Pelodiscus sinensis: one gene and its partners. The protein of the gene in region 3 interacts with the protein of the main gene of each other region in a pairwise test. Links are inferred from orthologs where the notes say so. Each region holds a gene or a part of one and is shown on either strand. Other genes may lie near its edges. The genes, in order: BICD2, KATNBL1, MFAP1 and AMOTL2.

Region 1 (7,991 bases), on a different chromosome or scaffold from region 3:
AGAGACTGAACAATCCTATTGATGGGAAAAAGCTTAAGTTGGGGTTTGCTTTAAACAAGCTCAGACCTGCACAGAAACAAATTTGGGTATGGCTACACTGCAATGACAAACCCTTAGCTGGCCTATGCCAGCTGACTCAGGCTCATGGGGCTCAGGCTGACAGGCATTTCATTGCTTAGCAGACTTCCAGGCTGGGGCCTGGGCTCTGGCTCTAGGACCCTGTGAGAGAGAGATAGCCCAATACAGTCTGGCCACAGACAAGAGCATCTGTATGCTCTTCCTCACTGCCCTGCATTGCATCATATGCCCTTCCACCTCATTCCCTCTACATCCCCAGGAACTCCATACTTTCAAATGAGCACTGAGAAATCCTTTCTGCAGGAGCTCGATCCCTACTCTCCTAGGTACCTGGTCCCCCCTCAACAGGAGTTCTGGTCGCTCAAGCCCTGTTTTTCCACTCTTGGATCTCCAGCCTCTTACAGTTCCTCCGCTTCTCCATGTGATCTGAGCCTATGCCACTTCAGCCTAGGCCCGCCCTCCCATAGCTCTCTGGTTCTCTTCCACTCCTCTGCTCTTCCATTTTCACCCTGTGGAGGATTAGATCTTTGGTGCTGAGCGGGCCAGAGGAATAGGTGAACACAGCTGCTCTCTGCCCTCACGGGCATCCTGTAACATGGACAGATGAAGAGCAACACTCCTGGACTCATGGAAAGAAGTGCTTTGTCTCTTCACTGCTGGCTGAAGATTAAGGGACTCCCCAGCCTTTGTTTACAGAGCCTGGGGGGTTGAGGAGCATATTTACCTGTCCCCACCCCTAGTTGAGTGATAGGGGAGAAGAAGTAAACCTCACTGTAATTACCCTATAATCACCATGCCAAGTGAAGTTTTCCCTTCAGTCTACTGTTGCAGAAGATGATCTCCAGGGCCTGGAACAATTAGCAGTAGGAAAAGTGAGAGCTCCCCCTGACCCATTCACTTGTGAGGTGAGGAACTTCAAAGCTAGGGGCCTGCACTTGGCCCTAAGGCAATCCAGCAACAACGAGGAATTTCCAAGTTAATGCTGACACGCCTCTGCTTTACACTTTAATGCTCAAAAGGCCAATTATTTTATTTCTGCACTTTTGGCTCTGTTGCCAGGAAGCTCCATGTCCCATTAAAGCTCTAACATGGATGGCTGACACAGTGTGTCAAACGGCTCAGCAGTAGGTGGATCTTTGGCACCGAGTATGGCATTTCTACACATGCAGAGCCATTCATTCCTTTGCTGGTCTTTACAGACTGTTTCTTATAAGGATAACTTATTAGAGACCCCTCAGCACTGTGCAGAAAGGATCCTCGGAATGCTCAGTAGCCAATATTTCAATATCAATTATTCAACCTATTATAAGAAGGCCTGCTCCTAACAGTTATCTCTCAACAAATTTTCTGCTTTAAAATAAAATACTATTTTAAAGCTTTGTACTTAGGTGGGGAAATCTATTTAATGTAACTCATAGTTCACTCCCCATATTTATCCCGTTTATAAACAACCAGATTGAAATAATGCAATTCACAAAACAGTGTATATCTGGGGGATGGGAAAGTTGAGAGAAAAAATTGATTCCAATATCAAATTGCACCTCACAGTCAGGGAACTGGGTTCATGTAAGAGGTGCTTTGTGGGAGCCCTGGGCTGTGTACCATTATGCAGCAAAGAACAGAATTACGGTCACTTCCATTATTCCTTTCCCCCTGCACGGAGCACACTCAGTCCCAGACTGGCACTTGATCTCCAGCGCATTAGCCTCAAGTATCCGCTTTCCTGTGCCTGGCGCCCAGCTGAGCGAAGACACAGCAGATGTCATGGGAAGGGCAGAGGGTCTTAGAGGAATTGCCGAGCTGTCCCTTTAAAGGGCTGCCCAGCATTACGCCAGCAGTGATGAGCGTGATGATGCCGGATCTGGCCGTGACACCGCACTGGGCAGGATGCTGCGCTCCAGCCCAGTTGGAAGATGCAGCCCGCAGCTGCTGCCCAGCGAGAGCTGAAGCCAAACTTCGCGGGGAGGGGGAATCACATCCACCCGCGCGCCCAGACCGGCCAGAGCAGCTCCCAGGAGCGATGCATCCCCTACGCCCCCGCCATATCTCCACCGCTGCGTGGCAGGCAGCGATCAGCCAGTCCTTGCCGCAGCCCTGCGGGTGCATCATCGGTCCTGCGTGCCTTTGGGGGGGGGGAGGACCACGCCCCAGGAGCCACTCCAGGCTCCGCAGCGGCTTTACCTTGAGGGGACCCCCAAGGCGGAGGGGACCCCCCCCAAAGTCACACAGTGCTGCGGCCGCTGCGCCGCGCTCCCTGCCTTGCCCACTCCCGGCGTGTCACCCCGGGCCACCACCCCGCGGCTCACCTCCTTCAGCTGCTCCATCTCCGAGCGGATGGTCTCGTACTCCGCCTCCAGCTCCTCGTACTGCTGCTTGAGCTGCTGCTTCTCCTCCAGCACGGCCAGCCCGTACTCCGCCGCCTGGATCTTCTCCCGGGTGGTCTCGCCCAGCTCCTGCGAGAGCCGCTTGAGCTCGCTCCGCAGCCACTCGGGCTCCGACTCCATCACCAGCTTGGCGTACTCCTCCTCCTCCGTGGCCAGAGCCATCTCGGCCGGCCGGGCGCGGCGCCTCCCAGCCCCGTCCGACGGGGCAGCGCAGCGAGGGGGGCTGCGGGGCGAGCCGGGCAGTGAGGGGACGGACGCAGCGCCCTTACCAGCCCCGCAGCCGCTGGGCTGCCATGGGCCGCCCTGCGCCAGCACAACTTGGCCCCGCTGCGGCGCTGCCAGCTCCCCCGGCTGCCATGAACCGGGCTGGGCGCTAGGCTGGCGGCTCTCGTCCCCGGCGGCAGCCCCCTCCCCGCCCGGCCCTTACACCATGCTCCCTGCCTCCTCCGGCAGGCTGCTGCGAAACGCGCTGGGCAGGCACAGCGCAGTGAAATCATTCAAAAGGAACGGCCAGCGCCAGCTGCCCCGCGGGCCTTGTAGGACTTGTAGTCCCGCCTCCCCCTAGCGCCAAGCAAGCCTGCGCCGGAGAGGACTACGAGTCCCACAATGCACAGGGCGGGCAGACCAGCTGGAAGGCAGCCCAGCCTCTTGGAGGAATTCTGGCTGGGGGAAGAAGCTGGCAGCGGGGGCTGGGTTAGGATCCTCTTCGGCATCAGGGCAACTTTCACTTGTGACAGTGACCCCTACAGGCTGCGTTACACATAGGTGGCTGCATTCTTGCGGCGGGGGGCAGAAGGTCATACAGTAGGTTGCTGTTCATTGCAAACAGGGGCCACTCAAGTGAAATCAGCAGAAGTTGGGCAGTTAAATAGCTTTGGGAATCGGACTCATTGTCTGTGATTGGAAGTGAACTTAGTATATAACTCGCAGCCCTCTGGCTTTTAAACAGAACAGGACAAAACCTCTCTCCCCCCGCCCCTCCCCCAAAAATATTTTCATCACCATCGGTCATATTCATCTGTTTGACTTCTTTGTTGTAGTTCTGTGTTGATTTATTCATTGATTGGTGTATACAGTGCTGTTGTTGTGTATGGCACTTTACAAATAAAACCCAGTATTGTCTCAGCCAAAAGACAATACATCTTTTGGGGACCTGGGACATGGATTTAGGCATGTGCTAGTACATACTGAAGTCGATGCAACTTGTAATATGTATAGGTCTTTCCAGGATCAAGGTCTTGCATAAGCCTGTAAAGTTAGAGGTGGGGGACTTTTTTGGGTTTGGGGGTCACTGACCCACACAAAAATCAGTCAGGGGCAGCACACAAGTGAGAAACAAAAACAAAACCCTCACTGACAGTGGCTGCCAACTCAGAAGGAGAAAGACATTCCCCTTGCACACCAGAATCTTGGGAGGCCAAGCTTAGTAGATTTTGTGTGCTCCAGCCCTGAGGGGAGCAGGATCCAGGCAAGTGGGGGGGGGGGAGCATCTGGCTACAAGGCCTGAGGTTCTCCACCCCTGAAACCGTTCACTCCTTAGTCCCAGTGAAGTAAAAGGTAATGTTTGCCTGAATGAATACTATGTACTTAAGAAAGGGTTTAAAGAGCCTACTAACTAGAAGATAAGAAGTAACAAAGAGAGAAGGCTACAAAGAATGGGGGGAGGAGAGAGAACAAAGGTTGCAACAATGGAAGCATGTGTTTGCTCTTGCATACTATGCATGCTTCTTCAGGGTGCTGGCTTTGTTTCTTTCATTGTTAAAAAAACTAAAAGTGATCTATAGCATTCTGATAGCATTAACTAGTTACAAGGAATAGTTTCAACAGTTGTACTGTAAGGCTTTCACTCAAGTAGGAGTACCTTTAATCATAGAATACTAGAACTGGAAGGGACCTCAAAAGGTCAAGTCCAGTTCCCTGCCCTCATGGCAGGACCTACCTCTATCTAGATTAGGGGTGTGGAATCTGAGGCCTGGGGTTTGGATGTAGCCCCTGGCTTGCCTGGATTTGGACCTATTTTTTTCTCCCTCCTCCTTATAGCACCTTTTTAAATATTTGAAAGCTGCTATCATGTCATCTCTCAGTATTCTCTTTTCCAAACTAAACAAATCCAATTCTTTTTGACTTTCCTCAGATATAGGTCATATTTTCTCTAGACCTCTAATTGTTTTTGTTGATCTTCTAATGTTGCTATAGATTCCTCCCTATATTTATAACTGAACTGTCATGCTTGCTGATGTTGTCATTTGAAATTAAAAAGTAAAGGTATTTATTATTGACTTGGGGGGCACTTGTTTATAGGGTTGCCAGGTGTCTGGTATTTGTGGACTCTGTCCAGTAAAAAAAAAAAAACAGAACATACTGGTCCCCCAGTTTTTTTTGTTTGTTTTTTGTTTGTTTGGGGGTTTCTTTTTCTTTTTCTTTTTTTTCCTCAACCAATTTTTTTCAGTATTTTTTTGTGAAAATATCTGGCAACCCTACTTGTTTATGAGGTAGTCATGGCAATTACATTGCTACCTTTGGGGTCTTTGTATAATTCTTCTTTCACTCAGCTTGTTTATTTCTTTATGTAGAGTCACTGATGAGCATGGTGCTGGGCAGATAAATAAGAAAGCAGGTTCTGGCTTCCAGGCATTTACAGTCTAAATAGATAAGCACAAAAGGGGAAATGACAACAGACAGTGGAATGGAGTAGAGCTGGAAAGGAAACACCAGAAAACAAGGGGAAAGGTAAGCAGCTTGCAGGGAGCACAATATTTTTTTAGATGTTTGTGTTAACATCTTTATTATTTTACTATCGTTATTTACAGATTTTCAGAAGGACATACGGGAGTTAAGATGAATGAGGGAAGGTGAACACATGACCAAACTTTATGTTGTCTCAAAGATACAGATCCAGCAAAGCACCTGAGCACATGCATAACTTTAATCACGAGTCAGTCCATAGAATTTAATAGAACTCCTCACATTTAAAGCTATGCACATGCTTAAATTATTTGCTGGAGTGGGGCCTAAATCAACTTGCTATGTAAGTGACATAAGATGTATTATTGAGACCAGGCTTGCAACTGACTAGAATGCAGAGGAAAGGAATTTTATAAGCAATGCACATTTGCAGAAGTTACAAGATCTTACTTGCTCGGTATAATTTTGTTAAATACTTTGTACAGTTATTAGTTCATGATTAGTATTTCACCATAGCAGTAGCATATTTAGACCTATGAAGCTGTGAATATGGCTCAGGATTTTCACTGGCCACTCACCACATTTGCACACCTAACTGCCAGCCAGAGTTTCAGCCTCAATGGCCCAACATCATCTAACATTAGCATCAGCTAGTGATGGCAGAGAATGAATTCCTTAGCATTCTTCCCTAGCTATCAGCTATCTCCTGGCTTCTTGATCTTTTTTGGATGGAGCACCAGAAACCAGAGAACATCACAGCCAGCTGCATGGAGGAAGAAACAGCAGTAACAGCTGATGAGGACAGTGTCATGGCTACACAGGACTGAGTACCATTCGCCACTTGGCAGAGTACTGAGGGGAGGGGACCTCTTACCATTTTGCACAGGGGTGGCCATAAGAATGAGGTAGCAAGTAAATTACAAGATGAAAGCAAACATCTTGCCATAATTTTCCCCACCTAGAGTAATGTGGGGTATGTCTACACTACCACCCTAGTTTGAACTAGGGTGGTTAATGTAGGCAACCGGAGTTGCAAATGAAACCCGGGATTTGAATTTCCCGGGCTTCATTTGCATATTGCCGGGTGCCGCCATTTTTAAATGTCCGCTAGTTTGGACTCCGTGCCCGCGGCTACACGCGGCACGAACTAGGTAGTTCAGATTAGGCTTCCTATTCCGAACTACCGTTACTCCTCGTGGAACAAGGTGTACCAGTAGTTCAGAATAGGAAACCTAATCCGAGCTACCTAGTTCGTGCCGCGTGTAGCCGCGGGTACGGAGTCCGAACTAGTGGACATTTTGGCGGCGCCCAGCAATATGCAAATGAAGCCCGGGAAATTCAAATCCCGGGCTTCATTTGCAACTCCAGTTGCCTACATTAACCACCCTAGTTCAAACTAGGGTGGTAGTGTAGACATACCCATGATGATTGTGCCCAGTAAATCCTCCATGTGCCTAAGGAAGATTGGAGATCTCTTCCTTTTCCATTGTTTCATCTCTCCCAAGTCAGTGGCTCCATCTAACAGTTCCCCATCCCCCAACTGGGAATAATGGCTTATGACAGGATTAATATTAGGATAAATGCATTGAAGAGTGTAGAGTGCTCAGGCACTACAGGAATGTGGAGAGCTATATAAGTATCTAAGGGCTTGTCTCTACTATGCTGGGGATTGATGCTACAATGGTTGATCCATTGGTTATTGATTTATCACATCTGCTCAGATGCAATACATCAATCTCCAGGTGCTCGCCCATCGATGCCAGTACCCCACAAAGGCAAGAAGAGTAGCTGGCAACAATGGAAGGACAGTCCTCACTGACCTTACCCCACAGAAGATGCCGCAATAAGTACATGAATAAAAGTATGATGGTTACCAAAAAGAGTAAACAGGACACAGTGAATGCCGTAATTACTTTTCCACAATAAGTAGAATTAATTTATAAGCCGTGATGTAGGGCTAACTGTCCTGACCACATTCTGCTCATAGGCCTGGCCTACAACAAAAACGTATATTGACCTAGATACATCATCCGAGCTGTGAAAAATGTTATGCCCTGTGCATAACTGAGAGCACTATTTTGCCCTCTGCATGTCAGCTTCAGATCTTGCCTGACGTTCCTTTACTGCAGCAGGCCCAGCTCAGATTTTATTGGTATTGAATTGGCAGGTAAATGCCAAACATAATGAAAAACAATTACCTGTCTGAGCACACATGAGGATTAGAACATAGTACATTACATGGGCAGTGCCTACAGCTCTAGGGCTTTTTCAGGCTGCTTTAATCTTCTAAGTACCTACGTTCATCCAAATCCACCTTGGTACATATAAAAACATGCCTCTTTAATAAAGTATTTTAATGTCTGAAGTTAGCTTGGTGGCTTCATGACTACAAGGCTAATGTGTTGTTGAGGAGCTTGTGCCAATCCAAACTCTGCACGGCTCATCTAGAGAGGCTGAATTTGACATGTGAATACAGTGAGGTAATGCCTAAATTCTCTTCCCTGTAACAAATTTGCCTGAAGATGACAAACAAAAGTTTCATGTAAACAGTCTGCTGCAGTTAACGAATATTCCTTTAGTTTTCAAGTTTCAAAATGCCTTGAGTTCTGTGTTAACAGCAAACCTGTATGTATCTGACTTAATTTAGAAAACCTCACACACCCTTAACAGCCAAAACCTATCCTTTTATACACTCCGTTATTTTTCCTCTAAATTCATGTCAATTCTTCATATGCGATGCTCCTTTAAACCCCCCATTGCATGCACTACATGCAACCAAACTGCTGCTGATCTTACACCAGTGTTATAAGCTGATGTTACTAACTCCTTTGATTTTATTAGACA
Region 2 (6,860 bases), on a different chromosome or scaffold from region 3:
TATTTGTGTCCTGTCTTCTATGGGGATGTTAATTATTTAATATAGTAACTGGTTAAACATTAGGAATAAATGGTTAGTCTCGGAGCAGCCCCTGTGCCCCGCCAGTTAATCGGATACCCATAAGCATCGCCCAGTAAGGATGATGTTAAGCAGTTAACTCTTTTCATCTCTAGTCCTCTACAAGCCATCCCTTTGATCAACAAGTAATTTATACAGTTGCCACAATTCCTGGCATGGCACCCCCGAAGTCACCAACGCAGCTTCTCTGACCAAGGGTGTGGAAATTAGGGTTTAGATCTAGGCTGGGCAAGATGTGGCCCAAGGACGAGATCGAGCGCACCTAACACTTGGATCCCACCCACAGACTGCATCTGGTCACTTTCTATTTCTATTCTGCTGCCCAGCTGTGGCTCAGGTATCAGGATTCTATTTAAATGGCTCCCGGTCACAGAACCAGACCGGCAGGGGCTGAAGCCATGAGCCTTTTAAATAGATGTAGCAACTCTAGGCAGCTGCCAGGCCACACAGCAACAGCAGGGCCAGGAGCCACGAGTCCTTTGCAGTATTTTTACTTCAAAGCCTTCAGCCCCAGACAAATCTGGTGGTAGGCTAGTCCCCAGCCCCGCCCGTTCTGCCCCAGGTAGGGATGTTAAATTGTGTTTAATCAATTCATCGATGGAAATTCCATCGACTAGTCAATTACTTGATGGGGGAGTGACTAGTAGAGTCACTATTCAACTATTTGATAAGCTTATGCTTATTGTATAGTTGATTAGTCACTTACATCTCTACCGCAGACCCCATGGTCAATACCAAAATTCATTAAGTGATCAGCCTATGAAAACGATTGCCTACCTCGGGTTTAGAGCCAGGTAGATCTTAGATACAGTCATGCATTTTACTCAGAAAACCATGCATAGCCTATAAAATGCTAAACCCCTACAAAAAATTTTCAAGTAAGGCTATATCTAAGCTATAGAGAAGAAGATCAATGCTGCTTGAAGACCTGCTAAATGGGCTGCCCTACTGCATACCTTAAGAAGGCCTTTGGCTGTAGTGTAAACCTGGGCTTAGATAGTGTATTGGCATCTTTGAGATATTATTCAGGGCATTACTAGCAAAAGTGAAGACACAGATTTAACAGATTTTTAAAATTTTTTACACATTGATAACTCTGTAGTAACTGAGACTACTAATTTTCATCTGTGTTACAGATAATTGAGTAAAAATATAAACAGATGCACGTCTCACTGGCTCTCCTGCAAATATGATTACTATAAACTACAATTCTCAAATACAAATTTAGAAATTCAAGCTAATGCTCATTTTACCAATTCCATAACATTATTTGTACACAGACCCATCAACAACACTGTAGATCAATTTTATTTACACTGGGGATACAACTATCTTGAATAGAATAATTCTGCTAGTGGCTTTTATCTGTTCTATTTGTTCCTTTGAACAAAGAATACTAGCAAATTACAAATTTTATTTGCGATTTTATTAAATTTTCTTCAGAACACCCAGAGTGGCATCTATTTACTCCGCTTAAGGCAGAGAGCTTAGGAGGAATGGAAAGAGGGGAAGGTGCTTAGAGGGGAAATTTATATATAACCAAGAAAGGACTGTAACTATTTTAAAATACATATAGATTTGATGTCTGTCTGTATCTGTGCGAGTTTCTTCATATGGTTGATGGACCATATATAGATTTGAGGCAGTTCTAAAAAGTGTAATATACATCACAATGAAAAAAGTTATTTTTGCAAAATAAAAATATAGTTCCAAAGTCTTAAAAAATGTCAACTATTATAAGTTATATCATTTGTATTTTCTCTAACTTTGTTTGGACAGCAGGAATTAAATCTAAATATACTGAATGACGCTAATGCAAGTCATGTATTTTACTCAGAAAACCAAAACTCCCTTAGCAAAGCAATACAGTCTCCAGAGCCCTGAAGTGTGTTTTTTCCTCCCAGCGGTGAAAGTAACTTAAAGCTTCTTATAGATACTGTCCCATCGCAATCCGGGTCTCTACAACTCTTTAAATAGCTCCCTGCTGGTTTTTGCCGCTGGAGCTGCACACCAGGGCACACCCGCTTACTTTCACCTCTATTTTCCCCCAGGAATAAGACACCAATTTCACTCACTAAACAGAGTAAATAAGGGCAAATCGCAGGATATGCGTTCCAGCCGCCCTGGTAGCTCCTACACCTTCACGGATCTCGTTTTAAACTGCGGCTCATCTCATCACCCTGCTAGGAAAGGACACTCTGCCCAATCTCGCGCCTCTGGGGGGCGGACACTGTCCCAGGTAAAACGAAGGAGCCGTGTCACTAATGGCACGTGTAACGTCTCCCGGCAGGGGGCCGCCCAGAAAGCGGGCGCACGTAGGGGCTGCACAGGCGAGCAGCAGACGGTGGCGGAGACAAGAGGCGCCGGGCGGCTGTCGGGTCAGCCCACGCCCCGGCACACACCGAGCTGCGAGGCCTGTGACAACACTCAGAGACGTGCCAGGAGAGTATCCCCGCCCCAGCGGCACCTGTCCAGCCGGAAGAGACGCGGCGGGAGAGACCCTGCCTGTCAGCCCCTCCCTCCAGGGACCATGCCTGGCACCAGCCACGGCCTAACGCCGCAGAGGCGCCAGTGCAACCCCGGTTGAGCCCTGCCAGCGACCCCGGCTGAGCTGCGGGCCGGGCGCTCGGGACGCCTCCCTTGCGGAGCCAGGCGCCCGCGCTGCCCGGCCCAGGGAGCGGCCCCGGGCTCAGCCCCAAGGGAGGAAGGGCCGTGGCCGAGAGCGGGCCCGAGAACCCAGCCGCCCCACTCACCCGCTGCTCATGGTACCGCGCTGCTGCGGGCCAAGCCGAGCCGAGGAGGCGGCGCTGATCCGTGGCAGTCCTAGCGCCGGGGCCCACTCCGCGGAGCCTGCGCCATTCAAACTGCGGCGCGCTGCATGCCGGGCCGGAGAGAGCCGGGGCGGGACCGCGCCCCTCCCCGCCGCCGCGTCCCCTAGGGGCGGCCGCGGGAACTGCACGCGCCAGACCCCTGGCTCTGGCCGCCTCAACCTCTCCCCGCGCATCCTCATCACCGCCCCGGACAGCCCGCTGGCCCTCACTGCCCTGCCTGGCCCCAGCCCCTCCGTTGGCATCATTGCCCCCCCCCCTCAGATTTGACGAACCCATCCTCAGCTCTCCCTCAGGCTCCCTTCTGCCCTACCCCACCCAAGGTTCAGCAGCTGTGCCCCCGCTTCAGTGTCACCCTCAACACTCCCTCCCGCTGGTGCCCTGACTTCTGCCCCTGAGTCACAGCCTCAGCAGTTCCTCATCTACCCCTCAAAGTCCCACCATCCCCACAATATACCTTCATCTGTCTCCCTCTCCCCTCTTCCAATGACCCTCAAAGCATTTCAGTGCTAACTGAATCCCTTTAAGCAACATCAGCCCCACAAGCCCCTCAGTCTCATTCCCCTCCCCCCGAACCCACTTTCAGGGAATTTCCCTGCCCCCAAATACCCAACCTCAGCCTCCTCACTTCCACACTTCTCTCAGGCCATTGTGCTGTCTCAACAACTCCTCCCCCCCCCCCCCCAGTCCCACCATCCCATGACTTCTCAGATAGCGTCACTCCCTTCCTTTTGCCCAACTCATCTGATGAAGTGGGTTTTGCCCAGGAAAGCTCATGATCCCGTATATTTGTTGATTTCTTAGGTGCCACAAGACTACCCCCTTCCTTTGTCTCACTGCCACCACAAACACTCCTTTGCCAGTCTCAACCACCCCTCCAGCCCAGTGTCTCACTCCCCTCAATTGTTCCACTATGACGTCCCCTTAGATCACCTCATTGGCCCTCAAATTATAGTGGTTTCTATTTTTTTAGGTTTAAAATGACTTTTTGTTGGAAATTAGCATTATTACAAAAAGTTTGTGTTTCTTTTACTTTTTTGATTTTTCAATAAAATGAATATAAACATTTTTCATTTTTAATAGAAAATGTTTGTTCCTTATTAATTCTCTCTTCCTGCTTACTGATCTGGAGGGATTGGAGGGGGAAAGTAATTGAGTTGTTTCATCAAATCACTGAAAGATTTTGAAAGAAATGAAAAATTTTAGTTTCAGTGATTTTTTTTTGTTGAAAATACTTGTCATTTTCTGACCAACCCTTCTTATATTCTCACTGTAGACATAATTCTTTCAGCTAGCCATGTCACTTCAGCACCTTCTCAGGCAGTTTCTTCTTCTCTTCACGGACTCCATTAGTTTCATTTGTGTGAAATCCTGACCCCATTGAAGACAATGTCAGTTTTGCCATTAACTTCATTTGGGCCAAGCTTTCATCCTTTGTCCCCACAATCTTTGTTAACCTACACGCTCAGCTTCCTCCATGTTCTGCTGACTTTAGGGGTGGTTAAAGTAGATTTTTGTATTTCCCCTTGACAACAGTAGTGCTAAATCTGACCTTGCATGATCAACTTTGGGATCGTTCAGACACAGTTTTGGTAAAGTCGATGTTGTTGAACTCCAGGATGTGTCCCACTGTGACTGCTCTGGCCAGTACTTTCAACTCTACTACTCTCCCAGTACAGAGGAAAAGCCCCAGGAAATTTTGCATTTCATTTCCTGTTTTGCCACATGGCAAGCTCAGCAACACACCTCAGCAGCATACCTGACCATGAATGCCAGAGTCATAAATGAGCTCCAGAATGAAGCATGCAGGAAATCCTGTATCTGATTGCTGCACGAGGAGAGGAATTTTTGCAGGCAGAATTCCAAAGCAGCAGAAGAAACATTGATATCCAGTCTCACTGACAGCCAGGAGGCCAATCTCCTCCCGGGATGTATTGCTGTGGGACCCTGATGGTGGGGAGGGCACTTCTGGTCAATTCACTTTTGTAATCAAGTTACAGTGGGTAAATGTAATTGGATTTTTCTGTTTGCTCTGTCCTGAGAGGTATAGTGGCAGCCACTCTGCCTACACAGCATGGGCTCTCTGGTAAAGTTTGTAAACATATCTGGAGATGAAGCGGGAATCCTCCCTGTACATCTTAGCAACGCTCTCATAGAAGTACTCTTTAATTCTTCTCACAAGGTTTCTGGGAAGGCCTGCCTTATTCCGTTCTCCACAGTAGGCCATCTTTCCACACCAAGCTAGGAGTAAGTGATCTGGCATCATTGCAGCACAAAGCATAGCAGAATAAGATACAGATTTCTGAGCACATTCAGTCAGCATCCACTTTCTGTCATACTCTCTGATTTGGAGAAGACTGATATCACGCATGGCAACCTGGATGAAAAAGTGGAAGTTCTGTAATTGATAGCACTGAGGCAAACTGCCTCCTTTTGCTCATCTCTGGAAAATCATGACCCCAGACTTGCAGCCATCATTGTAAAGGGCTTGAAGGGATTATCCTGAAGAACAGGTTCACTCCACCTCTCCTTATGCAGGTCACTGTGGGAAGGGAGAATTGCAGTCTGCAGGTATAACAGAGGAGTGCGTGGGGAAAACACATGCTGAATGTACGAGCCTCTAAAAACCCGCCTGGTTCACCCACTTGCAGGGTTCCTCATGAATGTGGCCCCTCTTGCAAATGCAAATGCTTAGATAGCAATGAGGGCTGTAGTTTGCAAACACTGTCACACATATTTTAAAAGCATAATCAAAAGAGTAAGAATCTCAATATGCTGCTTACTATCCCTGCCACCAAACCAAGTCCATTTGCTCCATTCTGAGCTGTGTCTTCTACCTGCCTGATAGATGTTTAAAATGATATATTTGGCTTTGTACATACTTTATTCATACTAAGAGTTAACCTTTTGTGTCTTACAATGTATCTTCTCTAAAGTTTACCCTTGACTTTTTTCACTCAAGGTAGCTGCAACGATGACTCTGTTACCCACTTCTCTAGATCCACCAATACATCCATTGTCACAGATCAGAAGGCGAAAGAAAAAAATGTACATGGGATGAAATGTTAAATGGGCAAGTTCAAAATCCATCCACACTGACAGAGCTCAACAGAATGCATGGAAGAGAACGATGTTACAGATCATAAACGTCGAACAGGAGGAGAGGAGAGCATACACGGAACATGAGCATAGGATGTGAGATGAGACGTTGAGGTTTGTGGGGGAGCAAACAGAGCTGATGAGGTGCCAGGTAGAGATGCAAGAAAAGCATATGGAGCAGTGTCCCCTCTGCACCCAATGATAAACCACCTGCCCTCTTCACCAAGTTCCATAGTCACCTCTCCTAGGTGCCCTGGAATGCAGGGTATGGGGTGAAGTCATGGGAAACCATTCATTCAACTCCCAGGGATGTCTCCTAGACCAGAAGGCTTTCATTCCCACAGCTTTGATTGCTATACAAGGGCATTGTAATTAGGGATGATCGATAGTTTGTAATTGAATAGTTGTGTAACCTCATCAAATTTTAAAGGTTACACGACTATTCCACAGTCTCCAGGGGTGGGGCCAGAATCCAATACACAACCAGTTGCACTGCTGTGGAGTTCCCTGCCACCCCTTGCTGCTGCCCATGTATCAGCCTCCCCTGCCCCATGCTGATCTGTGTCTTCTACCTGCCTGACAGGTGCTTAAAATGATAGATTTGGCCTTGTACATAATATATGCTTTTTGTGCAGCACAGTGCTTCATTCATTGTAAGAGTTAACCTTCTGGTCTGGACCCCATGGAGAGAGGCAGCAGTGTGGAAGGGCAGGTGGCTCCACAGGAGCCCATACGAACAGGCTGCTGTCTTGAAAACTGGCTTCTTGCATGTACTGGCTCCTGCCTGCCCCCCTCGCCTTCTGTGCTGCTGCCTTTTTATCAGAGGCAGAAGTATGGGGGTAGAGAGGTCCATGC
Region 3 (7,196 bases):
GCCAGCTTGGCTAACAGCCCTGTCCTCTGTGAAGTGATTTCTCTAGGGTAGATTAAAACCCAGCTTTAGTTTTGGCTACCAGCATCCCATGGCGATGCCTCCGAGTCTCCGTGCTTTGCGCGAGTAAGCATTTGCCGTGCGGTCCCTTTGTAAGGCTTTGCCATCAGCTTTGGACTTGCAAATGTTGAACTGCACCCAACCCAGTACAGCCCATCTCCTATCCTTTAATCGGTTACTGATCACGAGAGAGCCGTCCCTCTCAGCCCATGACACCCAAAGGCAAGGCAAGGCCACCTGTAGACCCTCCTTTAACCTCTCGACAGACCGGCCGTGTATTAGCCAGTCCCATTTGCCCACAGACCTCGTACTGCCTCCTGCTGCAGGGAGCCAGCCTCCACCCTGTGGAACCTCTGCCGAGAGATCCTGGGAAACCGGAGCTTGCAGCGCATCTGCAGCATGTTTTGTGGATCTGCACATACCTCGTCGTCAATCTCTTCCTCCTCCTCCTCGCTGGTGTCTTCCCGTTCCAAACGCCAAGCTTCTCCCTCCACCTCTGAGTCACTTTCTCCAACCACTTCTGGCTCCACAATTTTGCGGTGCCTTGCCAGTCTATGCACAGACACCAAAGTTAGCAATTCAGCTACCACAAAGCAGTGACATAGGCATGGCCCATCTACAAACTGAAGTCCCCACACACACATCCAAGCCAGCGCTTCCAGCTACACAATGGCCTTGTCCTAACCCTCCAGACCCCACTGTTCTGGCTCCAGGAACCACAGCAAAGATGCATCTCAGTACACCACACTGAACACATGCTAATCTCAGCTGTTCAAGTAACTACAAAACGCGGCTAGACCCACCAGTATCCTAAATATAATCATGCTGTAACAACCAGAGCTCTTCTGAATATGATGCTACAGCATGAACTCTCATGGACAGTCTGTGAGTGCCTGGCCTACAGTCACAGTGATCACAGCAAAGCCTGGAAAAAGTAAAATTCTTCTCAGAAGGTTGGTTTACATGGCATCAGTAGAAGCAGTAGGTGGATTGCTCCAGAACAGACTTTCCTGTTTCTTCCACTGCAGAAAACACAGCTTCCATTGGGATCCTCCTGCTTCTTCGCTGGCTACGCTAAAGACTGAAGCAATTCTAGAACTGACCTGGCTACTCCGAATAGATATGAATTACTGACTAGAGAAGAGTTAAATAAAACCTCAACTATCTGTTTTTCTCAATGAGATTCAGTAATATAATACTCCCTATCTCCATACAAGAATGTTGTCCTGTTTTCTAGATTTTGCCTTCCTGTGAAGAGCTAGCTGTACCACTTATGACACCTTTCAGAACTTGCTTACTAACTGCAATAATCTACATCTAAAGAATTATTTGTGCCAATGCACAAAGCTGTTTTTTCCTCCTCAGACCCCTCAATTTAAGATGTGGGGAAAACAAAAAAGGGACACTCCAAAAAGTTACACACCTGAAAAATGTATTTCCACAAAAGACTCATGCAAAGTGTAGCTACCACAACAAAAAACTTTCTTTCCATGTTTTTATTCATATTTTAGTTTATTTACACAGTCCCTTGGACAGCACTCTGGCAGAGTCATCTCCAAAGGGAGGTCTTTCACAAAGAGAAACTCTCCTGAAAATATAACAAAGGTGTATCTACAGCTGTCAGTGTACATCAGGGCAGGCGGGCCGGACACCATGGGCGGTGTGTCTGACTGAAGCTTTGTCTACCTTACGTGGCTGGGTTGCCAAAAGTCACCTTTGCTGATAAAATACTTTCGCTCCCCAAGAGCAGCATTTGCTTTATCAGCTGGCGAGCACTCCTGCCAACAAAGCACTTTTTACCCTAATACTGCATCTATAATTGCACTCAACTGATAAAACTTTTGTCATCCATGGATGCTTAACTCCCCCCCGCCCCCCCATGAACGACAAAGTTTTTCCATGGCAAATGCAAGTGTAAACGCCGCTTTGTCAGCAAGAGCGCCCTGCTGCTGACAAAGCAAAACCTCCTTGGAGGTGGCAGTATTTTGCTGACAAAAGTACCAACAGCGTTCTCACAAGCTGACTGTTAGCCACAGGGCTGTGTGGACACAGCCTTGCTGCTAAAAGCGGCGTAGTGCAGACGCACCCTAACGGTTGCTACAACAAGGCTCGTCAGTCAGGGTTGTTTTTTTAAACGCCCATGAACAACAAAACCTTTGTGGCTCATTTGCCAGCGTAGACACAATCTAAAGCAGGGCTGTCATGGGCAGGGGCTTACCGCTCCTCCACATCCTCGTTAATGCGGTTCTGCAAGCGCCGCAGGCGGGGGTCGCTGGCTGAATCCTCCTCCTGCTCCTCTGGCTCCAACTCCTGCTCCTTCGCCTTCTTAATGAACTGGAACTCCTCATCCTCCTCGTCGGAGGACTCCATGGGCGCGTAGTCTGGCCGCTTCCCCGACACATAGCGCTTCACCTTCACCTTCTCCATGGAGATCTCACCTGCCAGGGGGAGGGGTTACCCCAGACCAGACCTCAACGCCCCGGCCCCACGGGGACCACAGCCCCCCGGCCCCCCCGTGAGAGCCCCCAAATTCCCGCGTGCAAACCCCCAGATCCCCCCGGCCACGCGCGCGAGCCCCCCCATGTCCCCCCATCCGCCCCGCGAGCCCCCCCATCCGCCCCACGCGCGCCCCCATGTCCCCCCGCCCGAGCCCCCCCATGTCCCCCCATCCGCCCCGCGAGCCCCCCCATCCGCCCCACGCGCGCCCCCATGTCCCCCCGCCCGAGCCCCCCATGTCCCCCCGCCCCCCGCGCGAGCCCCCCCCCACCCTTCTCGTTGCGGACGGGCACGGCCCCCGCCGTGGACTGGATCGGCGGCTGCTTCATGAGGGCGCTGGGCGCGGCCATGGCGGCGGCTTCTGGCCCGAACTCGGGACCCTCCGACACCGACAAGAGCGGCTGCGATCGCGCCCCGAACCGGAACCGGAACCAGCCGAGCGTCACAGCCACGACCCGGAAATTGTCTTCGCTCAGGCGCCCGCTGGCCGGAAGTACGTCACTACGGGTGGGGACTTGATCCCGGAACCGGCTGTTGATTTGCCGGGGGGAGGGGGAATCGGGTCCCTCGCGCCGCCCGACCCCTCCCCCCCGGGTGCCTGGAGACTCGGCCACGTGCCCTGGCAGTAGCTGGGCGGGGCCCGCCAGGGGGCGCTGCCCTTAGGCCGCGATTCGTCCGCTGGGATGAAGCTATTTGCATCTATTTGCATCTATTTGCATGCGCGGCGGGAATCGCTGCCCCGGGGCTCCCCGGCCCCGCATCCGCCTGCAGCGCGGGCCCAGAGCGGGGGGGGGGCAGAGCCGGGGGGGGCCCAGAGCCGGGGGGGGGGCCGAGAGCGGGGGGTGGGGCAGAACCGGGGGGGCCCAGAGCCGGGGGGGGCTCAGAGCAGGGGGGGGCAGAGCCGGGGGGGGGGCCAGAACCGGGGGGGGCCCAGAGCCGGGGGGGGCCCAGAGCGGAGGGGGGCCAGAGCCGGGGGGGCCCAGAGCCGGGGGGGGGCCCAGAGTGGAGGGGGGCCAGAGCCGGGGGGGGCCCAGAGCCGGGGGGGGGGCCCAGAGTGGAGGGGGGCCAGAGCCGGGGGGGCCCAGAGTGGAGGGGGGCCAGAGCCGGGGGGGCCCAGAGCCGGGGGGGCCCAGAACCGGTGATGTGTAAAAGGGAAGTCAAAACCCCCGGAGCCATTGATTCCCCTATGAGGGGCACGTACAATATACATACATTGCTAATGCTTAGATATATTTGCTATTTGTATCGGAGTAAGACATGACAAAGGTCAAGGCCTGTCACAGGTAATAACTTGTAATAAGGAGACGAGGGGAGGTGAATCCAGTCTTCTGTTAAGTGGAGATATGGATAGATTCCACATCCTTTAAACTTGTGACCGGCTCAAGCAGGAAAGGGAAAAGGGAAGTATGGCTCGCCCATTGTTCAGCAAGTAGGCACTGTATTTAACCTCATTTGGAAAATTAACCTGACCTATAGGAATGCTAAATGTCAAAGATGAAGTAACCTATCATGTTAAGGCACCTAAACCAGGAAAGATGTGAACCCTATAAAAACCCCTGCCTATGAGATGTTGGGGGTCGGCTCTGCTTTGAACATTGAGTTCCTTAGCCGTACCTTGGTTGCAACCAATAAACTTGAGTTGGACCCAGCCTGAAAGTGTGACTCTCTTCTTGGGGTAAATCAGACTAGCCTCCAAGGGGACGAAACCAGCAATTTATGCAACACCGGGGGGGGCCCAGAGCGGGGGGGGGGCCGAGAGCGGGGGGTGGGGCAGAACCGGGGGGGCCCAGAGCCGGGGGGGCAGAGCCGGGGGGGGGGTCAGAACCGGGGGGGGGCCCAGAGCGGAGGGGGGCCAGAACCGGGGGGGGGCAGAGCCGGGGGGGGGGCCAGAACCGGGGGGGGCCCAGAGCGGAGGGGGCCAGAACCGGGGGGGCCCAGAGCGAGGGGGGCCAGAGCCGGGGGGGCCCAGAGCCGGGGGGGCCCAGAGCCGAGGGGGGGGGCAGAGCCGGGGGGGGCCCAGAGCCGGGGGGGGGCGCTCCCCCAGCCCCGCCTGCCCTCCCTGGGGCCTTGGCACACGCCCCCCCGGCGCCCAGCCCGCGGCACAGCCCAGGCCCTCTGGACTACGGGGGGGGATCCCCGGGCCCCCTGCGCCTACTCCAGGAGCAGCCGCTCTCGGCCTGCAGCCCCTCCCCTCCTGCAACCCCCCGTCCCTGCGCCCCGCCCCTCCTGCAACCCCCCCGTCCCTGCGTCCCGCCCCTCCTGCAACCCCCCCATCCCTGCGCCCCGCCCCTCCCCTCCTGCAACCCCCCGTCCCTGCGCCCCGCCCCTCCTGCAACCCCCCCGTCCCTGCACCCCGCCCCTCCCCTCCTGCAACCCCCCGTCCCTGCACCCCTCCCCTCCTGCAACCCCCCCCGTCCCTGCGCCCCGCCCCTCCCCTCCTGCAACCCCCCCGTCCCTGCACCCCGCCCTTCCCCTCCTGCAACCCCCCGTCCCTGCGTCCCGCCCCTCCTGCAACCCCCCCGTCCCTGCGTCCCACCCCTCCTGCAACCCGTCCCATCCCTGCGCCCCGCCCCTCCCCTCCTGCAACCCCCCCGTCCCTGCACCCCGCCCCTCCCCTCCTGCAACCCCGCGTCCCTGCACCCCTCCCCTCCTGCAACCCCCCCGTCCCTGCGCCCCGCCCCTCCCCTCCTGCAACCCCCCCGTCCCTGCACCCCGCCCTTCCCCTCCTGCAACCCCCCGTCCCTGCGTCCCGCCCCTCCTGCAACCCCCCCGTCCCTGCGCCCCGCCCCTCCCCTCCTGCAACCCGTCCCGTCCCTGCGCCCCGCCCCTCCCCTCCTGCAACCCCCCGTCCCTGCGTCCCGCCCCTCCTGCAACCCGTCCCGTCCCTGCGCCCCGCCCCTCCCCTCCTGCAACCCCCCCGTCCCTGCGCCCCGCCCCGCCCATCCTGCAACCCCCCCCGTCCCTGCGCCCCGCCCCTCCTGCAACCCGTCCCGTCCCTGCGTCCCGCCCCTCCTGCAACCCCCCGTCCCTGCGTCCCGCCCCTCCTGCAACCCGTCCCGTCCCTGCGCCCCGCCCCTCCCCTCCTGCAACCCCCCGTTCCTGCGCCCCGCCCCTCCTGCAACCCCCCCGTCCCTGCGCCCCGCCCCTCCCCTCCTGCAACCCCTCCGTCCCTGCACCCCTCCCCTCCTGCAACCCCCCCGTCCCTGTGCCCCTTCCCTCCTGCAACCCCCCGTCCCTGCGCCCCGCCCCTCCCCTCCTGCAACCCCCCCGTCCCTGCGCCCCTCCCCTCCTGCAACCCCCCCGTCCCTGCGCCCCGCCCCTCCCCTCCTGCAACCCCCCCGTCCCTGCGCCCCGCCCCTCCCCTCCTGCAACCCCCCCCGTCCCTGCGTCCCGCCCCTCCTGCAACCCCCCGTCCCTGCGCCCCTCCCCTCCTGCAACCCCCCGTCCCTGCGCCCCTCCCCTCCTGCAACCCCCCCGTCCCTGCGCCCCGCCCCTCCCCTCCTGCAACCCCCCGTCCCTGCGCCCCGCCCCTCCCCTCCTGCAACCCCCCCGTCCCTGCACCCCTCCCCTCCTGCAACCCCCCCCGTCCCTGCGCCCCGCCCCTCCCCTCCTGCAACCCCCCCGTCCCTGCGCCCCGCCTCTCCCCTCCTGCAACCCCCCCGTCCCTGCGCCCCGCCCCTCCCCTCCTGCAACCCCCCCGTCCCTGCGCCCCGCCGTCCCTGCGCCCCGCCCCGCCCCTCCTGCAACCCCCCGTCCCTGCGCCCCGCCCCTCCCCTCCTGCAACCCCCCGTCCCTGCGCCCCGCCCCTCCCCTCCTGCAATCCCCCTCCCTGCGCCCCGCCCCGCCCCTCCTGCAACCCCCCCGTCCCTGCGCCCCGCCCCTCCCCTCCTGCAACCCCCCCGTCCCTGCGCCCCGCCCCTCCCCTCCTGCAACCCCCCCGTCCCTGCGCCCCGCCCCGCCCCTCCTGCAACCCCCCCGTCCCTGCGCCCCGCCCCTCCCCTCCTGCAACCCCCCCGTCCCTGGGCCCCGCCCCTCCCCTCCTGCAACCCCCCCGTCCCTGCGCCCCGCCCCGCCCCTCCTGCAATCCCCCGTCCCTGCGCCCCGCCCCTCCCCTCCTGCAACCCCCCCGTCCCTGCGCCCCGCCCCTCCCCTCCTGCAACCCCCCCGTCCCTTTTTATCGGCCCCCCCGTCCCTGGACCCCCAGCCGGCTGCAGAACTTGCAGCAAACCGCGCCCAGGGAACATCTGCACACGCTCCTGCTCCACACCCTGCATTTCCCCACCCGCGTGTCCCGCCCCCATGCCAAGTGGCGGGACGACCTCAGATCCACTGAGGGTGGGGAACCCCGAGGGGCCGGCGTTTATTCCATCTTAATCCCGCGGCCCATCGGAGACATCAGTTGGCGGCTCCTTCATGGAGCCGTGAGCACGGGTGTGTACCTGGGGCGGTTCACCCCTATCCTGGACACCTGGGGCGGTTCACCCCTATCCTGGACACCTGCCCCTTCTGCGGCGTGAGGGAGAACCTGGCCCACGCCTACCTCGAGTGCGCCAGGGTGCAGCCCCTATTCCGGCTCCTCCAGAACCTCTTACTGAGGTTCTGGCTGCACTTTTCCCCTCACCTTTTCATTTATGCACACCCCA
Region 4 (7,655 bases), on a different chromosome or scaffold from region 3:
TTACTCCGGAATAACAACGTGAGCGTCCACACTGCAGCGTTACTCCGGAATAACAACGTGAGCGTCCACACTGCTGCGTTACTCCGGAATAACAACGTGCGCGTCCACACTGCGGCGTTACTCCGGAATAACAACGTGCGCGTCCACACTGCGGCGTTACTCCGGAATAACAACGTGCGCGTCCACACTGCGGCGTTACTCCGGAATAACAACGTGCACGTCCACACTGCGGTGTTACTCTGGAATAACAAAGTGCACGTCCACACAACAGCATTACTGTGGAATAACAAGGTGTGCGTCCACACAGCAAGCCGTTATTTCGATTTAATTTCGAGACGGAGGACGGCTTCCTCCGACTCCTGTAACCCTCATTTCACGAGGAGCGAGGGAAGTGGAAGGACGAGTGCGCGCAGACAGCACCAAAAGCCAGACGGAGCTGTTTCAACGACAGCGACGCAATTGACGTCGCTGACGTTCCCTATCTTAATTCGACTTTCGCCCGGCAGTGCAGGCGTGCGCTGAGTGCGTCTCTCTCCACGCGCCAGGCGAGGCAGGCGGGGAAAAGCTGTGGCTGCTCTCTAAGAAATTCATTCAGTTCACGGGGCGGAGACCAAGTCATGACCCCGCACAGGAGACCAACGCAGGATGTTGAGGACATGAGACACACGTCACACAAAAGGCCCTAGCCTTGGCAGACCCACGTTCCTGGGCCGAGACGGCTCCTAGTTCCTGTGAAACCCACACATCCCGAGTCAGTCTCCAGGACTTTCCATCTCACTCCGGGAGACTTGTCCAACGGGAGCCCAAACTCAGACCGTGTAAAGCTCCGACCAAACTTAAAACTCCACAACGCACATCTCCACCAATTCCCAGCACACCTCACGGTTTTAAACAGACAAACACCCGCCCTGCTACAATGGGAGGGAATTTGGCTCACAAAGTGAGGGTGAGCAAGTCAAAAGGGCTCAGCTTTACCGTCGCACCCCTGGAGAAATGCACAATAATAACAGCGTTACAGTGAAACGCGACATAAAATCAACCCGATTTTCAAGAGCCTGTCAGCTGTGCGCGTTCTGGCCGCCTGTGGGTGGATGCTTGTCACCCAGCTACTGAAAGTGTAAATATCAAATGTATCTTACTGAACCGGCTGCGCACGGAGAAACCCGGGGGAGGGAGGGGACCTTCAAAACATTCTCCTCACTTTTTTGACTGCTCTCTGGCAATCACAGCAGGGCTGCGTGTGGCTAGGCACTGGCTGAAGAGGGATGCCAGCCGGGGAAGTTGCAGCCTTGTTTTTAAGATGCCTTGGCGCACAGACTTCCAAGCGAGTGAATTCCTGAGTAGACATCTGATCACCTGTTTCAGTCTCATGCTAGTGCATGCGGGCTGGCAGAGGGAGATGCTAATCTCCTGTTGCTTCATACAAACATACCTCAAAGACTGGCTTGACTCCCAACACAAAAGGTTCTTGACCGGGTCTTCCCTGACGGTGAAATCCTCCCTCTCCGAGCCCGGCTGCCAGGCTGAATGCCCTCTGCGGTGCCAGCCCACCTCGGGTGAACCAAAACAACAGCCCCACACTCCTCCCCTTTCACAAGCCCTGGTGCAGCCAGGAAGTCTGAACTCTTGGGTCAGGAGCATGACTCGCTAGCCAGGAAGGTGGAGAAAACATTCCTCACCCACCCGCGCCCTCTGGGCTCCAAGCTGGCCCTGGTAGGGAGCATTCGGGCCTGGATCCCCGGCCTCTCCTGGGTTGCATGTGGTCGCTTCCTTCATTTATTGCCCTCCTGCCCTTTGCTGCCCTCAGCATCACCCCGCCGGGCCCGAGCCTGCGTCAAGCTTCAGGCCAAACCCCGTGAGTTGTTCTAGCTGGGAGGGCAATGCCAAGAGGAATCAGCAAGTTCGCTGTTGGCGCCCACACCGGCACATGGGCAAGGAGGCCCCCGAGAACGAGCCCTGTTTTGTGGTATGTCCTATCCCAGCCCCTCGGCTGTCGTGTGCTACACGTGGGCACGAATGTGGCCCTGAGCGAGGAGGGTCACTTCCAAAGGCCCCCGGGGTGCGCGCACACAGACACATGCGGGCACACACGGACACGCACACACAGACACACGCGGGCACACACGGACACGCGCACACAGACACACACAAGGACATGGGCACACACAGGCATGCACATAGGGACAAGGACGTGGGCTTGTGCACACGAGTACGCACACACAAAGACAAGCGAACACACACACGGACATAGGCACACACACACGGGCACATGCATATAGACACACACACGGACACACATGGACATGGGGACACGCGCACATGCTCACACGGACACACACACACGGACGGACACACACACACAGACACAGGCGAACACACACACGGACATAGGCACACACACACGGGCACATGCATATGGACACACACGGGCACACGCAGACACGGACACACACTCACACACACACGGACACACACTCACACACACACGGACACACACACACTCACACACACACGGACACGGGGACACGCGCACACGGACACACACTCACACACACACGGACACACACACACTCACACACACACGGACACGGGGACACGCGCACACGGACACACACTCACACACACAACCAGAGGCGACAGTAGCCGGGTGTGCGCAGCCGCCCGGCCGGTCTTCCCCAGGCCGGGAGCCCCTTTGTGCGCCGGGAGCCCTCCTGCCCGCCCCGGCCACTTGCTCCGGGCGCTGCCCGCCGGGGAAGAGGGGGCGCCCGCGGCAGGCAGCGCGACCAGGCGGCGGCCGGGGCGCTCCCCCTCCCGGAGCCCGACACCGCGGGGATGGGCGCAGACTCACCGCCGCCCGGGCTGGCTCCGCGCAGCTCGCCGAGCTCCTGCCCCCGCGGCTGCCGGCAGGCACTGAGCGCCGCGCCGCGCCTGCCAGCGCCGCTATGCCAGGAATGCGAGAGTTTCAGGCTCCCCCGGGGCCGGGCGAACCACCAAGCACCGCCCCGGCCGGCCCCGCCGCGGCCTGCAGGGGGCGCCGCCGCGGCTCCCCGCCGGCCCGGGCGCACGGCCCTCGCGGATCGTGCGGGAGGCCAAGCGCCGGGAAGGGGGCGCAGGGCTCTCCTCGGCCGCGGGGCGCAGGCAGCAAGGGAGGGTCAGGCGGGACGTCAGGAAACCCCCCCAGCTGGGGAGCCTGGGCATCCCCTCTGCGCTGGGAGGAGTCTGCGGGGGCTTGCTTGGGGCAGAAGGAAGCCAGACTTGGCAAATACCTGCGGGCCCCACCCGCAATCCTGCCCCTTCCAGTAGCCGACTGCGCCACTTCTTACACCTTCCTTAATGCGGGGGGAAAGGGGGAATGAATGGGTCTGGCTTTTCACGGGGGAAAAAAGTCAGAACGATCATGCTTAGAGATCATCACAGATATTTGCTAACAAAAGGAAAATCCAGTGGCCCGTTCAACTGCCATTCCAGCGCAAAGAAAAGGCCACTGTTACAAATCACAAATATTCAAATTAGTTCCCGAAAGAGTACTGGAAAGGTGACGAGGTTCTGATTCAAATGGATAATTAATCCAATCAAGAATGTTTGAAGCTGAAATCCTACACATGTCAATCTGTTCGTTTACTTCCCTTCTGCAAGCACGGCCATACAGCGTTCTAGGACAGATATTGAACGTCTTGAACTTTCCTATAAGCTCCTTTCCTGGCTGGTCAAGGATGGGCCTCACCTGCGTGGTGGAGCTATTCAAGAGCAGGTTGGACAGACACCTGTCAGGGATGATCTCGCTTGGCCCTGCCGTGAGGGCAGGGGACTGGACCCGATGACCTCTCGAGGTCCCTTCCAGGTCTACAGTTCTGTGATTTACTCCTAAGGGTTTCATCCCATGACATGGTCCAGAGACCCCCAGGCCAGTCCTGGGGAAGTTGGCAACTTAGAAACTCCTCAGCCCTGGCTGCTTTGGGACCTTTCCTCTTGTCTCTAAGCCAGGTCATTTACTTGCCATCTGCGGTGTGCAGCCAGCTGCAGCATCCACCACCGCCCACTGAGACAGGCCCTGCTCAGATACCCAGAGACAGCCCCTGCTCCAGAATAGTGATAGAAATGTAGCCGTGTTAGTCTGGGGTAGTTGAAGCAAAATGCAGGACTATGTAGCACTTTAAAGACTAACGAGATGGTTTATTAGATGATGAGCTTTCGTGGGCCAGACCCACTTCCTCAGATCAAAAAAAGCTGAGAATTTACATTACAGCGGGAAGGGAAACAGAGGCACAACGATGAGGCCACACAGCAGGGCGGTGGAAGGGCTGGGCCCGTGGCCTTATGGTCCGTTAAAACATGCTTCCCCTCCAGGGACGTGACGACTCGGGGTAGCCTCCTAGTTACAGCGCCAGGAGAAGCCCAACTCAAGGGCGTGTATCTCAAAGCCCCTCCGAACTCAGAAACATGGGAGCCCAACGGCAAGGCCGGGTGTGGAACATGGTCACAATGTAAAAAGGGGGCTTAGAATGGATGCTATTGTGCAACCTTCCCGAAAGCACCACGTCTGCCGTGCCTGCTACTACGGTGAGTTTGTTACTGACCCGACTGTCTTCTGAAGGAAGGCTCCAGTTTCCCGGTTGGGGAAAGGATGAGCCATCCAGTGGGAAAGGTACTAGCCTGGGCCTGAAGAGGCCAGGATCTAATTCCCTGCTGTCCCACAGACTTCCGGGTGAGTGACTTGGCCTCTCTGTGCCTCAGTTCCTCATCCATAAAATGGAGACAATAGCCCTGCCCTTCCCCACGGGGATGATGGGAGGGAGGATAAATACACCTTGTGGTTCACATGGAAATTTGTTCTTGGAAGTGTGACTGACTCACAGACTTTAAAGTCAGAAGGAACCACTGTGATCAGGAAGGTGAAACCCAGGAGTTCGCTACCAGGCAGGCTCTGTGTGTGTGCGTGTGTGTGTGTGAAGACATTGCAGATCACTAGCAGCTGGTGGCGTGTGGAGGTGCGTTGTGTGCATGTGTGTGTGATGGAGCAAGAGTGCCGCTGGTTGTGCGTGTGCTCTGGGTGACAGAGGAGATCGCAGGGAGCATGCAGCAGGTTGCGCATGTGCTGTGTGTTGGGGAGGAGATCGCAAGGAGTGCGGCAGTCATGCTATGTGTCAGGGAGGAGAGTGCAAGGAGCGTGCGGCAGGTTGTGCATGTGCTGTGTGTTGGGGAGGAGATTGCAGGGAGCATGTGGCGGTCGTGCTATGTGTCAGGGAGGAGAGCGCAAGGAGCGTGCGGCAGGTTGTGCATGTGCTGTGTGTTGGAGAGGAGATCGCAGGGAGTGTGCGGTGGTTGTGCTATGTGGCAGGGAGGAGAGCGCAGGGAGCATGCAGCGGGTTGTGAGTGTGCTGTGTGTCGGGGAGGAGATCGCAGGAAACGTGCGGCGGGTTGTGCGTGTGCTGTGTGTCGGGGAGGAGAACGCAGGGAGTGTGAGGCGGTTGTGCTGTGTCTCGGAGAGCGCAGGGAGCGTGCGGCAGTCGTGCTGTGTGTCGGGGAGGAGATTGCAGGGAGCGTGCAGCGGGTTGTGTGTCAGGGAGAGCTCAGGGAGCGTGCGGCGGGTTGTACGTGTGCTGTGTCAGGGAGGAGAGCGCAGGGAGCGTGCGGCAGTCGTGCTGTGTGTCGGGGAGGAGATCGCAGGGAGCGTGCAGTGGGTTGTGTGTCAGGGAGAGCTCAGGGAGCGTGCGGCAGGTTGTACGTGTGCTGTGTCTGGGAGGAGATCGTAGGGAGCGTGCGGCGGTCGTGCTGTGTGTCAGGGAGAGCGCAGGGAGCGTGCGGCGGGTTGTACGTGTGCTGTGTCAGGGAGGAGAGCGCAGGGAGCGTGCGGCAGTCGTGCTGTGTGTCAGGGAGAGCGCAGGGAGCGTGCAGTGGGTTGTGTGTCAGGGAGAGCTCAGGGAGCGTGCGGTGGGTTGTGTGTGTGCTGTGTCAGGGAGGAGAGCGCAGGGAGCGTGCGGCAGTCGTGCTGTGTGTCGGGGAGGAGATCGCAGGGAGCGTGCAGTGGGTTGTGTGTCAGGGAGAGCTCAGGGAGCGTGCGGCGGGTTGTACGTGTGCTGTGTCTGGGAGGAGATCGTAGGGAGCGTGCGGCGGTCGTGCTGTGTGTCAGGGAGAGCGCAGGGAGCGTGCAGTGGGTTGTGTGTCAGGGAGAGCTCAGGGAGCGTGCGGTGGGTTGTGTGTGTGCTGTGTCAGGGAGGAGAGCGCAGGGAGCGTGCGGCAGTCGTGCTGTGTGTCGGGGAGGAGATCGCAGGGAGCGTGCAGTGGGTTGTGTGTCAGGGAGAGCTCAGGGAGCGTGCGGCGGGTTGTACGTGTGCTGTGTCGGGGAGGAGATCGCAGGGAGCGTGCGGCGGTCGTGCTGTGTGTCAGGGAGAGCGCAGGGAGCGTGCGGCGGGCCGTGGGGGCCGGTGCTGACGGGTAAGCACTCAGGCCGCTTGCCAGCTGTCTAGGGGAATAAATCTTCCTGTGCAATCCAAGTTAGGAGAGACGCTTCATTGTCTTTAAGACCAAACAACCCTGCTGAACCCTGCCTCACCATCTGCTCCTCTCCCTGTCCCCTCCCCCCGCACAGGGCACTTGGCCTCTCCCTCCCGCCCTCCCCGGCTGACAGGTGCGGCCCATCTGTCACAAACGGGGGGGAGGACCAAACGGCCCTTCCCTGGAGAGCTCAGTGTGGGTCCACGGCCCCTCCCCCACCTCCTCTTCCTTTGAGCCCCATTGCAGGGGCTGGCGTGGGAATCCTCCCCACTGTGTCCCACAGGCCCCCGTGGGGGCTATTGTCGGCCCCCCAAGACGGGCCCGTGGGCCCCAGATGGCGGCAGAGCCCCGGCGTGGGGGCCCAGAGGAGAGAAGAGAGACAGGAAGCCCAGCTCGCTGCGGCCCCACAGCTCCCTGCACACCCTTGCCCACGGCCAGGGAACCGGCAGGGAATCCTCCCCGCCGTCAGGCTGGCGCGTCAGGGCTCCGTGGCCACAGTCCGGTGGCTGCGGGAGAGATGGCGAAGGGCAGCGCCAGCACGTTGCTCCCCGCTCTGAGACGAAGCACGTGGCTGAAGGGGGCAGTTTGCCCACGTACCTGCCTTGGCGGGCTCCATGCAACGACATCGCTGTACCACGGCCCCAGGTAGGCCGAGCTGGCCCCTGTGTAGCTGCGTCGAGGACGGGGAAGGAATCCTCTGCCAGCTGGACTCCTGCCTCTCAGAGGCCCTACGGTGTCTGCGCCAGGCCGCTTTGGGCACGCAGCCTGGCGGCGGAAGGTGGGCGTGTGCGAGCGCTGGGGGCCCCTTTCGCCTGGCGGCAGGAGCGTTCCCACCAGCCAAGCAGCGTTCCCAGTTTCGTTTGCCGCCAATGGGGGGGTTAACGCCCGTGGGCACCAAGAGTGTTGCCGGCGAAGCGCGAGTGTAGACGACCCCGCCGAGAAGAGGAACTGCCCAGAGTCCCGAAGTCCCGTCCGTGATCACGTGCCCGGCCAGCGTAAAGTGGGGTCGCTCAAGCTGCCTCCGTGCCCCACTGGCCTCCAGCCAAGGCAGACGCGGTGCCCCAAGGCAGCCCCAGCGCTTCACGAGGGCTGAACTGGACGCTGCTGGAAGCCGCTTTAGAAACCGTTTTCCGGCGTGGCTCTTCGCTGGCAGCTGGCCC

The links.
Region 1: the proteins of MFAP1 (region 3) and BICD2 interact in binary tests that used the Homo sapiens proteins (3 or more experiments, as listed by UniProt). The link is inferred for Pelodiscus sinensis from reciprocal best matches to the Homo sapiens genes MFAP1 and BICD2.
Region 2: the proteins of MFAP1 (region 3) and KATNBL1 interact in binary tests that used the Homo sapiens proteins (3 or more experiments, as listed by UniProt). The link is inferred for Pelodiscus sinensis from reciprocal best matches to the Homo sapiens genes MFAP1 and KATNBL1.
Region 4: the proteins of MFAP1 (region 3) and AMOTL2 interact in binary tests that used the Homo sapiens proteins (3 or more experiments, as listed by UniProt). The two-hybrid records come from large-scale screens. The link is inferred for Pelodiscus sinensis from reciprocal best matches to the Homo sapiens genes MFAP1 and AMOTL2.

Annotation. Positions count from the first base shown.
Region 1 is NC_134721.1:31,014,160-31,022,150, reverse strand, and holds the start of BICD2 (protein bicaudal D homolog 2), read right to left. Parts: upstream 3,005-7,991; 5' UTR 2,625-3,004; coding exon 2,385-2,624; intron 1-2,384. UniProt on the Homo sapiens protein: Acts as an adapter protein linking the dynein motor complex to various cargos and converts dynein from a non-processive to a highly processive motor in the presence of dynactin.
Region 2 is NC_134714.1:59,894,752-59,901,611, forward strand, and holds the start of KATNBL1 (KATNB1-like protein 1), read right to left. Parts: upstream 3,003-6,860; 5' UTR 2,832-3,002; intron 1-2,831.
Region 3 is NW_027466027.1:125,071-132,266, forward strand, and holds the start of MFAP1 (microfibrillar-associated protein 1), read right to left. Parts: upstream 3,008-7,196; 5' UTR 2,904-3,007; coding exon 2,825-2,903; intron 2,496-2,824; coding exon 2,276-2,495; intron 610-2,275; coding exon 480-609; intron 1-479. UniProt on the Homo sapiens protein: Involved in pre-mRNA splicing as a component of the spliceosome.
Region 4 is NC_134720.1:1,016,543-1,024,197, forward strand, and holds the start of AMOTL2 (angiomotin-like protein 2), read right to left. Parts: upstream 3,001-7,655; 5' UTR 2,849-3,000; intron 1,762-2,848; exon of another isoform or gene 1,433-1,761; intron 1-1,432. UniProt on the Homo sapiens protein: Regulates the translocation of phosphorylated SRC to peripheral cell-matrix adhesion sites. Required for proper architecture of actin filaments.